3 linked regions of the Rattus norvegicus genome follow. The protein of the gene in region 1 purifies or fractionates together with the protein of each later gene. This does not show direct contact. Links are inferred from orthologs where the notes say so. Each region holds a gene or a part of one and is shown on either strand. Other genes may lie near its edges.

What was found.
Region 2: the proteins of Phlpp1 (region 1) and Wdr20 purify together in Homo sapiens (affinity purification with mass spectrometry; 4 studies listed by BioGRID and IntAct, with this or other methods). This does not show direct contact. The link is inferred for Rattus norvegicus from reciprocal best matches to the Homo sapiens genes PHLPP1 and WDR20.
Region 3: the proteins of Phlpp1 (region 1) and Wdr48 purify together in Homo sapiens (affinity purification with mass spectrometry; 5 studies listed by BioGRID and IntAct, with this or other methods). This does not show direct contact. The link is inferred for Rattus norvegicus from reciprocal best matches to the Homo sapiens genes PHLPP1 and WDR48.

The regions. Positions count from the first base shown.
Region 1 is NC_086031.1:23,043,034-23,046,170, reverse strand, and holds the end of Phlpp1 (PH domain leucine-rich repeat protein phosphatase 1), read right to left. Parts: intron 2,682-3,137; coding exon 1,458-2,681; 3' UTR 552-1,457; downstream 1-551. UniProt on the Homo sapiens protein: Protein phosphatase involved in regulation of Akt and PKC signaling.
Region 2 is NC_086024.1:135,571,785-135,576,140, reverse strand, and holds the start of Wdr20 (WD repeat-containing protein 20), read right to left. Parts: upstream 2,896-4,356; 5' UTR 2,766-2,895; coding exon 2,517-2,765; intron 1-2,516. UniProt on the Homo sapiens protein: Regulator of deubiquitinating complexes. Activates deubiquitinating activity of complexes containing USP12. Anchors at the base of the ubiquitin-contacting loop of USP12 and remotely modulates the catalytic center of the enzyme.
Region 3 is NC_086026.1:128,506,126-128,509,774, forward strand, and holds part of Wdr48 (WD repeat-containing protein 48), read left to right. Parts: intron 1-2,320; coding exon 2,321-2,461; intron 2,462-3,649. UniProt on the Homo sapiens protein: Regulator of deubiquitinating complexes, which acts as a strong activator of USP1, USP12 and USP46. Enhances the USP1-mediated deubiquitination of FANCD2; USP1 being almost inactive by itself.

The sequences.
Region 1 (3,137 bases):
GTGCCTCTGCCACACTTGGGAAACACAGCTCCCTCAGGCACCGGGTTCAACCCTGTGCTGTAATGAGCAAACTCATTCTGTGGTCTCGGTCAGTGGTCTGGGCTGCCAAGTAGTACTCAGTGCACACCTGAGGGGAGACAGGTAGAGTAGATGTCCCCAGTCTTCCACAGACAGCTCTTAATTGACAGTCACTACGGAAGGTGCATGGGATGCACACATGGTCTCCTGGAAGGGTTGAAAACCATCTTGGTTCTGCAGGTGTGCAGGTTCTCTGCAGGGCTCTCCTCTATGCAGTGTCCACTCAGTCCTCTTTTAGTGTCTACCTTGCATAATAATAGAAAGAAAAGGGTAACAGCAGTTGTGCATACAGTTGACCAGAAGGTCAATTTCACTACCTCATTCACTGTATGCAGCTGAACTTGAGTGTTAAGGAAACAAACCCCAAACCCATGTGGGTTAATCTCAACCCCCACCACCTATTCCTTCCAATCCTAAGCTGGTGTGATTGTAAGACACACCGGGATGCTGAGACAAAAGCAGATGGCTCCAGTACTTGTAAATTTCATATTTATTATAACAAAAATTACGACATGTCCATTTGGGCATTCTGTTTCCATATAACTCTGGATGTGTGGCTGGTCTAAGGGACTCTATACAGTCATGCTGATTGTGGCAGCAGGAAGGAACACAATTAAAAAGTGTCTGTAAAAGGTTCTGGGCTCCCGAGAGCAGGGCCACATTATCTGCACAGAAGCACACTGAGCAAATGGCCCACACTGCACATGGGCGAGGTGGCTGGGGCAGGGGAGGCTCTGCAGAGCGAGGAAGGAGTCAGTTATTTCGGCCGTGTCCCTATGCCAAGACTACAAACACTTTAAGCTTCATTATGTAACACTGAGCTATTTACAATAGAAATTTCTCAATCAACTGTTCTCTCAGAGAAAATTAGTGAGTCCCAGTGACTTAAGTCACTGACAGAGTAAAGCAACTCCTAGGAGTTAGTCTCCATATTCTACAAATGTCTATCATTTTCAAGACAAAAAAAAGCTTTCCCCACAAAGAAATACACATTACAGTATTATTAAATCATTTAGCAACGGCAACTAGCCCTGCCTTCCAAACGAACAAAACAACAAAAAGCCATTTTTAAAAATATTACATTATCATTTACTGTTTCTCTGTAATATATTAAACCTTTTGTTCTTTGTCTTTACACAGTTGATATGTTAGGGAAAGAAGTTAACAAATTTAAATCATATTGGTAAAGTGTCACTAGAAGAAAAGTGGTTAATTATTAAAAGTAACTAATACAAAGAGAGCCTAGAGATGAGCTGCAGAGACAGGCGGGGCAGTGTCTGGGAGAGGGCATGAAGCAACACCCCTGGTTTAACGTGAGCCTGGGACACTCTCTCGGCCTCTCTGGTTAGTTTATTGTTTAAAACAGTACGCAGGCTGGGTCATAGTGGTGTGTCGTAACAGTCCGGCAGGTGATCCATCTGGAAGGGCCTCTGTGCCTGTGCCTGTGCCTGTGCCTGTGCCTGTGGCGGCTGGGGTGGAGGTGGTGGCTGCTGCTGCTGCTGCTGCTGCTGCTGCTGCTGCTGCTGCTGCTGCTGCTGCTCCTGGTGATGTTTCATGATTTCTTTGACTTCCTCTTCCAGCTCTGGGGGGATGATAAACTGATCATCTGGATCTGGTTGAGCAGGGGCTGCAAAATAGCCTCCCGGCTTCCGGAGAGGTGCATCTGTGGCAACCTCTATTACATTATGGCTCCTTTCCTGGGGAGCTACAGAGCCGTTAGCCCTGCGTCGCCCAATGGTCCCCACAGCAGAAATGTCTGTCTTCTTGGACAGACCTGACTCATCCTCATTGGCACTGATGACAATGCCCTCATCACTGGCTTCAGCTGGCACCTGAAGCAGGTGCTGCTGTCTCTCCTTCTCCTTGGCCCGGCTGCAATGGATGTCCACTTCCACCTCCACCCGGCTGCCGTTGCTGAACACGCCCTCAATGGGTTCCTCGTCATCACTGTCAAGGCCGTTGTCAGAGAACGCACTGGAGAAAGTGGCGCTGGACAGCTGGCGCTGGAAGGAGTTGGACAGGCAGACCGGGTGGAGCATGCAGCGCTGCTCGCTGGGGTAGGCGGGGCTGCTCTCACTCAGGGCTCCCGACGGCGGCTCGTCAGAAGCTGTGGAGCCCACCTCACTACTCATCTCAGAGGTAGACAATTCACTGCTGATCTCAGATGCCATGCCGCTGCTGGAGGACGGCACGCCCAGCCCATCTGAGGGCCGGTCCTTGATCACCATGCTGACGGAGGGCGGGAAGATTCCGGGACTGGGCGGTGGCATGCTCCCTCCCACACTGAGCTCACAGCAGCAGAAGCTGTCTTCCGTGACACTGAGTTGCACCACCACAGCACTGATGCTGTCGTGGCAGCCGTAGCTCTGGGCCAGGGTGCATAGCTTCTTGGCGGCGGCTAGAGCATCTGGAACGTTGCGCACGGCTTCCACAGCCTCTTCGATGGACAGGCTGTCCCACAGCCCTTTGCTGCCCAGGATGAAAAACTCATCCTGTGGAGTCAGAAGCACCGACTGTACGTGGGGGCGAGGCACCACACTGGGGTGAAGGAAGGTGTAGCCCAGGATGCGTGTGGACTCTGTCACTCCATTGACCTTGCCATCCTAGAAGAAGAATTTCCAAAGAGACAGTGAGCACTGAGCACATGTGGTTACCAAGCAGCCTGCCTCTGGGTCCTCGGGAAGTGTTGGCACCCATGGAGGAGGCTCACACACTCTGTGTGGAAGGGCCGGAGTACAGACCTGGGCTTGTAAGGGGCAACAGGGACAAAGGAAGTATTTGCTTTGGTTATGCCTTTAACAGGGACCACACTTATACTAGGTGGTGGGTCTCTTCATGACAAGCTGCTGTCCAGCCTCACGTGGCAAGCATGCTTATTAGATTCTAAAGTGGCACATGCCATAGAAACACCTGGGGCAGGGACAGTTCAACCGCATGACCCTGCCCAGCAGCACAGCCAGCATGGAGGAGGGCGAGGGAGTCCTGTGCGACCCACGGATGTTTGCATCTGAGTCACAGTACTCATATGTTTGGAGAGGCAGTGTTAACAGCAGTGCCCA
Region 2 (4,356 bases), on another chromosome or scaffold:
CACCTTTTTTTGTATGCAAACCAGAGCTACTAGATCCAGATGAAGTGTGTCATGAGAATGATACAAAATTGCCTGGGCTCCCTGGCCACAATGGGGGGGGGGGGGGCAAGAAACAAAAATGGGGGATAGGAAGTGATGACTGAACTAGTAATAGTAATCACTAGGAGTAAATTTAACTTTTTAAAGTTTATTATTTATTTATTTATACACATATATGTGAATGCCACATGTACGCAGGTACCCAAAGAGGTTTGAAGAGGGCTGTAACTACAGGTGTCTGTGAGCTGCCTGAAGTAAGAGATGGGATCTAGGTTCAGAAGAACACCAGGTACTCTTTAACTACTGAGCCCTCTTCCAGGCCCCACAAATTTAACTTCTAAGCACATTGTATTTTTACATCATCACTATTTTTGTCTTTTTGGTTTTAGATTGAGGGAGTTGTTTTTTGAAACAGGTTCTTACTATGTAGTCCTAGCTGGCCTGAAACTCTATGTAGGGCAGGCTGGTCTTGAACTCAGAGATCCACCTGTCAAGATGCATGCTACCACACCCACCTGGTTTTGGATTTTTTTTTTCTTGAGAGAGGGCCCCACCATATAGCCCGTGCTTGCCTCAGATGTGCTAACTGTAGCACAGGTTGGCCCTGAACTTGCCAACTATAGTCCTGGCTAGCCACAATTTGAGTGCTAGGATTGCGGTATACACAACCATGGTAGGGTCTAATTATACTTTTCTAAGATTTCTTTTATTTTTAAACTTATTGTGTGAGCTGTAAGTGGGTACCCAGAACCCAGAAAAGGACATGCGATTCCCCGGAGCTTGAGTTTCAGGCAGTTGTGAGCAGCCTGACATGGGTGCTGGGAACTGAACTGGAGTCCTCTGCAAGAGCAGCACAAGTCAATAACCACTGAGCCTTTGCTCCAGCCCCTAAAGGTAGGTGTTGGTAACATTTATTTCCAGAGAAAAGTCTGCTGTTTCAGACAGAGCAGGCATGTTGAGATGGCAGCTGCTCCCTAAGCTTGCTTTAACTGTAATTTACATCTCCTGAGTGTGTCAGGACTCTAATGCCATTACTGCCATTACTGCCATTACGAATTACAACATGTGCACTGCAGCCCTCCCTTTTTAAAGAGGCGCAAAGTAAAGTTTCCCACATATCCAAGGTCACCAATGAGTCAGTAACAGAGTTGGGAGCAGCACTAAAACTTCAGTTCCTACACTTCAAACCACTGGATACTTTCCTAATCCCAAGAGAGAGAGAGAAAGAGGAGTCAGCCAGCTATTTTCAAACACTTGGTTAGTACACTGACAAGAATAAAGACAAGTCAGAAGATCACCTTGGGCCAAAGAAACAAGCTACGTTTGCATACCATACCATTGTCCCTTTCCTTGTCCTCCTAACCTACACAGTACAGCGTAAAAAAAGCAGCTGATCTATTCATCCCTGGGAACATGTCCTCTTCAATATGGACAACTCACTTCCCCACTATCTCAACATTTATAAGTGAATCTTCCATCACCTTGTCACCTTCTGTCGGAAGTGCTATGGAGTGCGTTCATTTCCTCACTCTCTCAATGGTCAAAAGTTAAAATAAGCAGTTCTTGGAACATAGTTATATTGCCAATGACAAAAAAAAAAGCGCCAATAAATTGCTTTTAACGAGATATTTTAAAACTCGATGGCATGCGTCACAGAATTACTGTTAAGTTCTTGGCTGGTTACTTAAAGTAGCATTTAAGGCCTATCCCTCCCTGTTTGGGACATAGCCTGACTTGTTAGACAAGATAAATCTAGGCACGCTCACACAGAACACCTCTGAAGCAACTTAGCTTATTGAAAACATTATTTCAACCTCCCTAGTCTGAGTACTCAGCCCTATTATACTACAAGGGACAGAATGACCCTCTTCAAAAATCTTTCGGGAGAAGGTTCCTTCCGCGGAGACAATGACAGCCTTCCTCCCGGGAAGGTTTTTGGAAACAGTGCTGACACCAGGAGAAGTGTCAGTGCGGCAGCAGGTGGAGTAGCCCTGCGTGCCGAGCAGGTCCTTTCTGACCTAGTCTCCAAGTCCTCCGCCTCCCTGTCCCGGTTCCGCCTTACGGACCTTTCCAAGCCTCCTCGCGTCCCGGTTCTCTCACCCAGGGCAGGACTCTCGAGCCTCCCGGGAAGCGAGGCCACCTAAGACGGCCGCCGTATCTCTTCCGGGGACTCGCAGGCCCGCTCCCTGTCGGTATCGGAACCTGACGGACCCCTCCGGGGAGAGGCGACCGGCTACTCCCGGGGCATCCCCGCGACCCGGTTCCAGAGCCCCCTCCCCTTCGAGGCAGCGCTGCCGCCGGCGCCTCACTCCTAAACACCCTCTCCTCCACTCAGAGTACCTCAACGGAGTTACCGGCCCACTCAAAAGTACAAGTGCCGGCCGCCCCCACCGGTCACCCCGGCCTCGCTGTCACCGCCCAGCTCCCGGCCTCGGCCGGCACCGCCGGCGTGCCCCCGGTGACGCCCGGGTCGGTACCTTGCGGACCCCCTTGTAGATATAGAAGTAGAGCTCCCGGCCCACATTGAAGCAGAGGCGGTCGCCGTTGCCAGACTGGTCGTTGAGGTTTACGAAGGAGACGCGGACAGGGTTGGATCCCTGCGAGTTGAAGGGCACCCGGTTGGGCCGGCTGTACTCCGAGTGCGGCAGCAGCTTGTACAGACCTTCCCGGGTGGTGAATTGGGTCTTAATCTCGTTCATCTCCTTCCCTCCTCCCTCCGTCGCCATCTTGGAAAGCAGCGTTCATCCTGCCCTAAGTGCCCGGATCACGCCCACCGCGCAGGCGCCGTCCTCGGCCGCTCGCTCTCCACTCCCCACCCCCTTCTTCGCGGCCCCGCCCATTGGCGAGCCAGCCCCCATGAAGGCGGGCCGAAGCGAAAGGGGCGGGCCAGTTTACAGTCTAAGTGCGCACGCGCGCTCACCTGGCGCGCTCCACCCCGAGGGGCGTGCGCCAAACTCCGCCCCCTGGGTGCCGCCCTCTGAGTGCTGGTGGAAGCGCGCGTGCCGAGCATTGGTGCAGGAACCGGTCTGCACCAAGGTGAATCTCTTTCTGCAGCTTCGCTGAGAGACCCTTTCCCTAAGGGAGGGCCCCGCCTTGACCTCGGCCGGCTGCTGGTCCCGGCGAAGCCTGAGGCGAGCAGTGAAGTCCGGTGTTTGGACCTGTGCGTCCCAGCTGTACGCGATCCTCCCTTGGAAGCTGAGGAGGACTCAGACAGTCCGGTTGGGTGCTGGGTGCTAAGACGCTCTACGCTTCCCAAAAACAGTCTCACAGAAGATATCGAAGGATTGAGCTTTATTACCCCTCACGGTTTTGTTTTGTTTTGTTTTGAAGGCGGGGTGGGAAGAACAGCTTAAATGTGTTTCCAAGTCTCATCTGAAACCTCACGTGAGCGTTGGCTTGTTCTTGAGAAAGTAGGTTGTGTTAGAACTTAAGTCTCCTTTGCCGCTTAAGAAAGGTAGAGCTAGCTGACTTTTCTAAAGCCTCAAACGGAACCTGAAATTATTTGCTAGGAGAACCATATCGTTGTAACGAATGTTCTGTACAAAGTCTATTTAGACTATTTAGACTTTAGAAAGGACAAGCATACTCTCATTAAAGTAGAACTAAACAGTCAGCATTTGATGCATCGATTTCTAGGTATGTGCACTGGAATACGAAGGCTTCTAAAGTAATAAACGTTACAATAGAATTCTAGAATAGGGAAAAATGATAGACGAAGAATGAACTATCCCTGAGAAGTCATGTCTGTAGAGCGGAAAATAAGTGGAGCGAGCCCAGTGGGGGGCACCTGTGCTTCCAGACAGAAGTGCCTGAGCCCAGAGAGGGTGGGAGGCGGCTACCTGAGCCCACAGAGCAACACTCCAACCTCACAAAAATTAATTTGTACACAAGAGAGGAGTGTTCTAAAGGAGGTAAATCATAACCATTTTATGTAGTGGGAAGCAAGTACATAAACAGTAGAAACTGTGCCAATGATGTAATAATGCATTTGACACTTACATCCTATAGCTTTCATACATGCCAGCAAAAACAAAATAGCACTACCACAATTTTTTTTTTTGAGACAGTATTTCACTAAATAGCCCTGGCTGTCCTGGAACTCAATAGGAGACCAAATCCACCTGCCTCTGACTCCAAGTTAAAGATATGAACCACACACCCTGTTTAAAATGCTTTTGGGGCTGGGGTTGTTTGTTTTTTTGTTTTTGTTTTTAAGGCAGGGTTTCTTTGTGTACCCCTGGCTCTCTGGAGACTATCTGTAGATCAGGTGGTCCTCAAACTCTCAGAGATCTGCCTGCCTCTGCCTCTTGAGTTCTG
Region 3 (3,649 bases), on another chromosome or scaffold:
CTTGGTTCCTAGGACCCATGTCAGGTGGTTCACAACCACCTGTAACTCCCAGCTTCTGGCAGCCTCTTCTAGCCTCAATAGGCAGTTCATCACATGCACAAATGCATATATATATATATATATATATATATATATATATATATATATATACCCATAATTAAAATAAAAATAAATCACATATTAAGCTCTGGGCTTGTTTGTTCCTGTCTGTGTCTAGACATTTTTTTCTTTTTTAAATAATCACAATGAGTTTATTGGGATGGTTCCCACTTACCTGGATTCAGGGGTTTTGTTTCTTCCCCTCTCCTGAGAAGCCCCTCCTGAAGCCCTGCTTCCTCTTCCACAGGCTGGCAGAAAACGGTGGAGGCCAACACACAAGACTAGCATTTGTTCGTGGCTAACAGCCTGGGGTTTATAGTGTCCTGGACATCTCACAGCAGGAACTGGGGCTCTGCACCAGGCCCTTGGATTTCTCCTGTTCTTGTGAAACAAGAGGCACATTTTGTCCTGCAAGACTTGAATAAAATTTATGTGAAATGTCTTAAGAACCAATCCATATATAAATTCTATTTCTCTCTTTAATGACCACATAGAAATGTCAGTAGAGTACATTTTCTAAATCTTTATTATTATTATTGGAGTGGGGATCACATGCCGTGGTACATGCAGAGGTTAGAGGACAACTTGGTGAGTGGGCTCTCTGCTTCCACCTTATATAGATTCCAAGGGTCATATTCAGGTCCCCAGACTTGTGTGGCAAGCACCTTTACCTGATAAGCCACATCTTGCCAGCCTAATGTATGGTAGTGTAACTTTTCCTTATTAAAGATATTGTTTCTATTTTTCATTGTTCTATAATTTATTGAAAAAAATACAATAGTAGAAGCTGGGTACGGTAGCACATACTTGTAGTCCAACACTTGAGCAGCTGAGGTGGGAGGATTAGGAACTCAAGACCATCCTGAGCTATATAGAAAGTTCCAGGTCATCCTGGGCTACATGGTGAATCATAGTAAAAGTTATAAAATAATAAAAAAGTCCTTTCAAAAGTAAATAGAGATAATATGGATTGTATAAAAGACAGAGGTTCAGGGCTGGAGAGATGGCTCAGCAGTTAAGAGCACTGTCTGCTCTTCCAGAGGTCCTGAGTTCAAATCCCAGCAACCACATGGTGCTCACAACCATCTATAATCAGGTCTGGAGCCCTCTTCTGGCCTACAGGCAGAAAGCTGTATGATGTATATATACATAATAAATAAATGTTAAAAAAGAGGTTCAGTTATTAAATTCCACTGTCCAAAGATGGACTCAAGAAGAACAGAGAAAACAGACAGCAGCATCCACACAGGCCTGGTCTGCAGACATGAAGCACCACAACTTTAGATTGAAAGTGCTTTCCAAATGCACAGCAAAGAACAAAAATCCAGAAATGTCAAAACACAAGAAGATTCCAAAAGCCCGGGGTAGGCTAAGGTGTCCGGGAGAGAAGACAGATGAGGCCTTGTTGATGGACAGTGAGGGTGTGGAGTTTGCTGGTGACAGTAGGTGCTACACTAAAGGAGCTTTGTACACAGACGTCCATCTTTGTTTGTTCCACATGACAGAGTCCCGGCCTTGCACCTGCCAAGCGCCTTGCGCTTCCTAGGCAAGCGCTCTACCACTGAGCTAAATCCCCAACCCTAATCTAAACTTCTTTAAATGTGAGGGTAGAAGAGAGAGCTTTCCAGTCATGCAGGGATTTCTACTCTTCAGCAGTGAGTGAGGCAAGCTTCTCCATCTGCTCTGGGCTTGAGGGAAAGCTTGCTCGAGTGTTCTGTCACCCGTGGGCTTTATGTGCACTGCAGTCATGCATGCCGTTGGAGGAGGATGTGCTGGGGTAAAGCGTTCAGATGCACAGCACAGGACACCAGCCATTTCACATGCTTACTTGTAAGGGTCTACAGATCTTGTCCTAGTGTCTGTCAGCCAGCGAGAGGCAAAAGAGGGTTGGTGGGGGTGGCTTCTTCCCATGTTTCCTTTGTTTTCTGACTGACTGTCCTGCCTCAATGGGATATTGGATATATTCCAGTATACACTGTTGAAAGGTTGGTGAAAATGGATTAGACAAATCAGGGCAGAGAGGAGGCTTGGAGACTTAGGTGTCTGGGTCATTAGCAGCAAGAAGACCTCTGCTTGTCTCGAGCTGGGCTCAGTAACGCTGTTCTTCTCACAGCACTTCGGTCCTCCTGAAGTAAGATAAAAACAAACTACATGAGCTTGAAGTTAGTTTGGCACTGCTAGGCCACGCCTCACCATGGCTTGGCTTTTGTTGGCCCATCAGGTTTCCTATGTAATTCGAGATGAAGTGGAGAAGTACAATCGGAACGGAGTCAATGCCCTGCAACTGGACCCAGCACTCAACAGACTCTTCACAGCAGGTCGAGACTCCATCATAAGAATATGGAGTGTCAATCAGCACAAGGTAAGGCAGGAGTCGTGCATTTGGGTTAACTCGTATCTTGGACCAGTGGCTCTGTCTGATGGAGCACCTCTCCTCAGTCCTGGCTTTAATCTCAGCACTGAGCTCCTTAATATATTGTATAAAGACATCACCATAGTCCTGTAAGCCTGTGAGAAAACACCTCCAGGGAAGTTTCACAAGTGTTTTTACTTAACTCAGACTCGGGCGCCATAAGTTAGTTTGCCGTAGGGGTTCCCCGCACAGAGGACTGAGAGTACTTGGCTGCTGCGACTTGAGACTCTCCATGGAATTCTGGCTTAGTTATGAATCCAAAAAGTCTCTGGATAACAGTGCTGAAAATAGAAAAACAAAATGTTGAGTGTGTGTACTTTTACAAAAGCGATTAAGGACCTCCTAACACGCTAGGGTCTTATTGGCTAATGTGGTAGGTATGAAGCAGCAAGGGCTACTCTCTCCTACTCCTCAGGGCTTCCTGAGGCTTTACTGCTACTTTTGCAGTGCTGAACATCAAGTTCTGGGCCTTGTGCATGCTAGACAAGCACCCTTCCACCACTGGCCTACGCCTCAGTTCTGAAGGGCTTCTGCGTAAGCAGGGAGGACACTCGCATGCGTGGGGAAGGAGAGTTGCACAAATGGGAGGAAGCTCTTGGGGTTTGTGAAGGTTACACTGTGAATGATGTAGAAAAATTGGGGAGGGGGGCATTTACTGACCTCTTATCTGTGCACCTAGTCCACCCCTGCTCACCACTCTCTGAATTTCCACAGTCCCTCCCAAGACTGTTAGCACTTAGAATCCCGATGGCTAAATGGCTAGTGTGGCAGTGAATTGGAGCTTAGACTCACTTCAGACTCCTGATCCAGAACCTGTTTAAGTCTGCCTTTTAGCCTGCTCTACAAACCAGTGTTCAGGGCAGAAAGAGGGTACTTGGCATAGCTGCCGGTAAGGTTTCGACAGTGGATTTGAGTTCTTGAGCAGGTGAAGGCAGTGTCAAAAGCATGAAAGTAAGAACGTGTGTTTTGTGTTTGCCTTTGCACCCCTGGGGACTCATGTTTGAATTAGACTATTGAGTTTTTGGGAGTTTGCAGTATTTTTAACAAATCAAGAGAAAATTAAAAGACCTTGCCTAGAAGAATCTGGCTGTCCTGCCCTCAGATATCTTTTCACTGGTTTTTATGACAAAGTCGCAT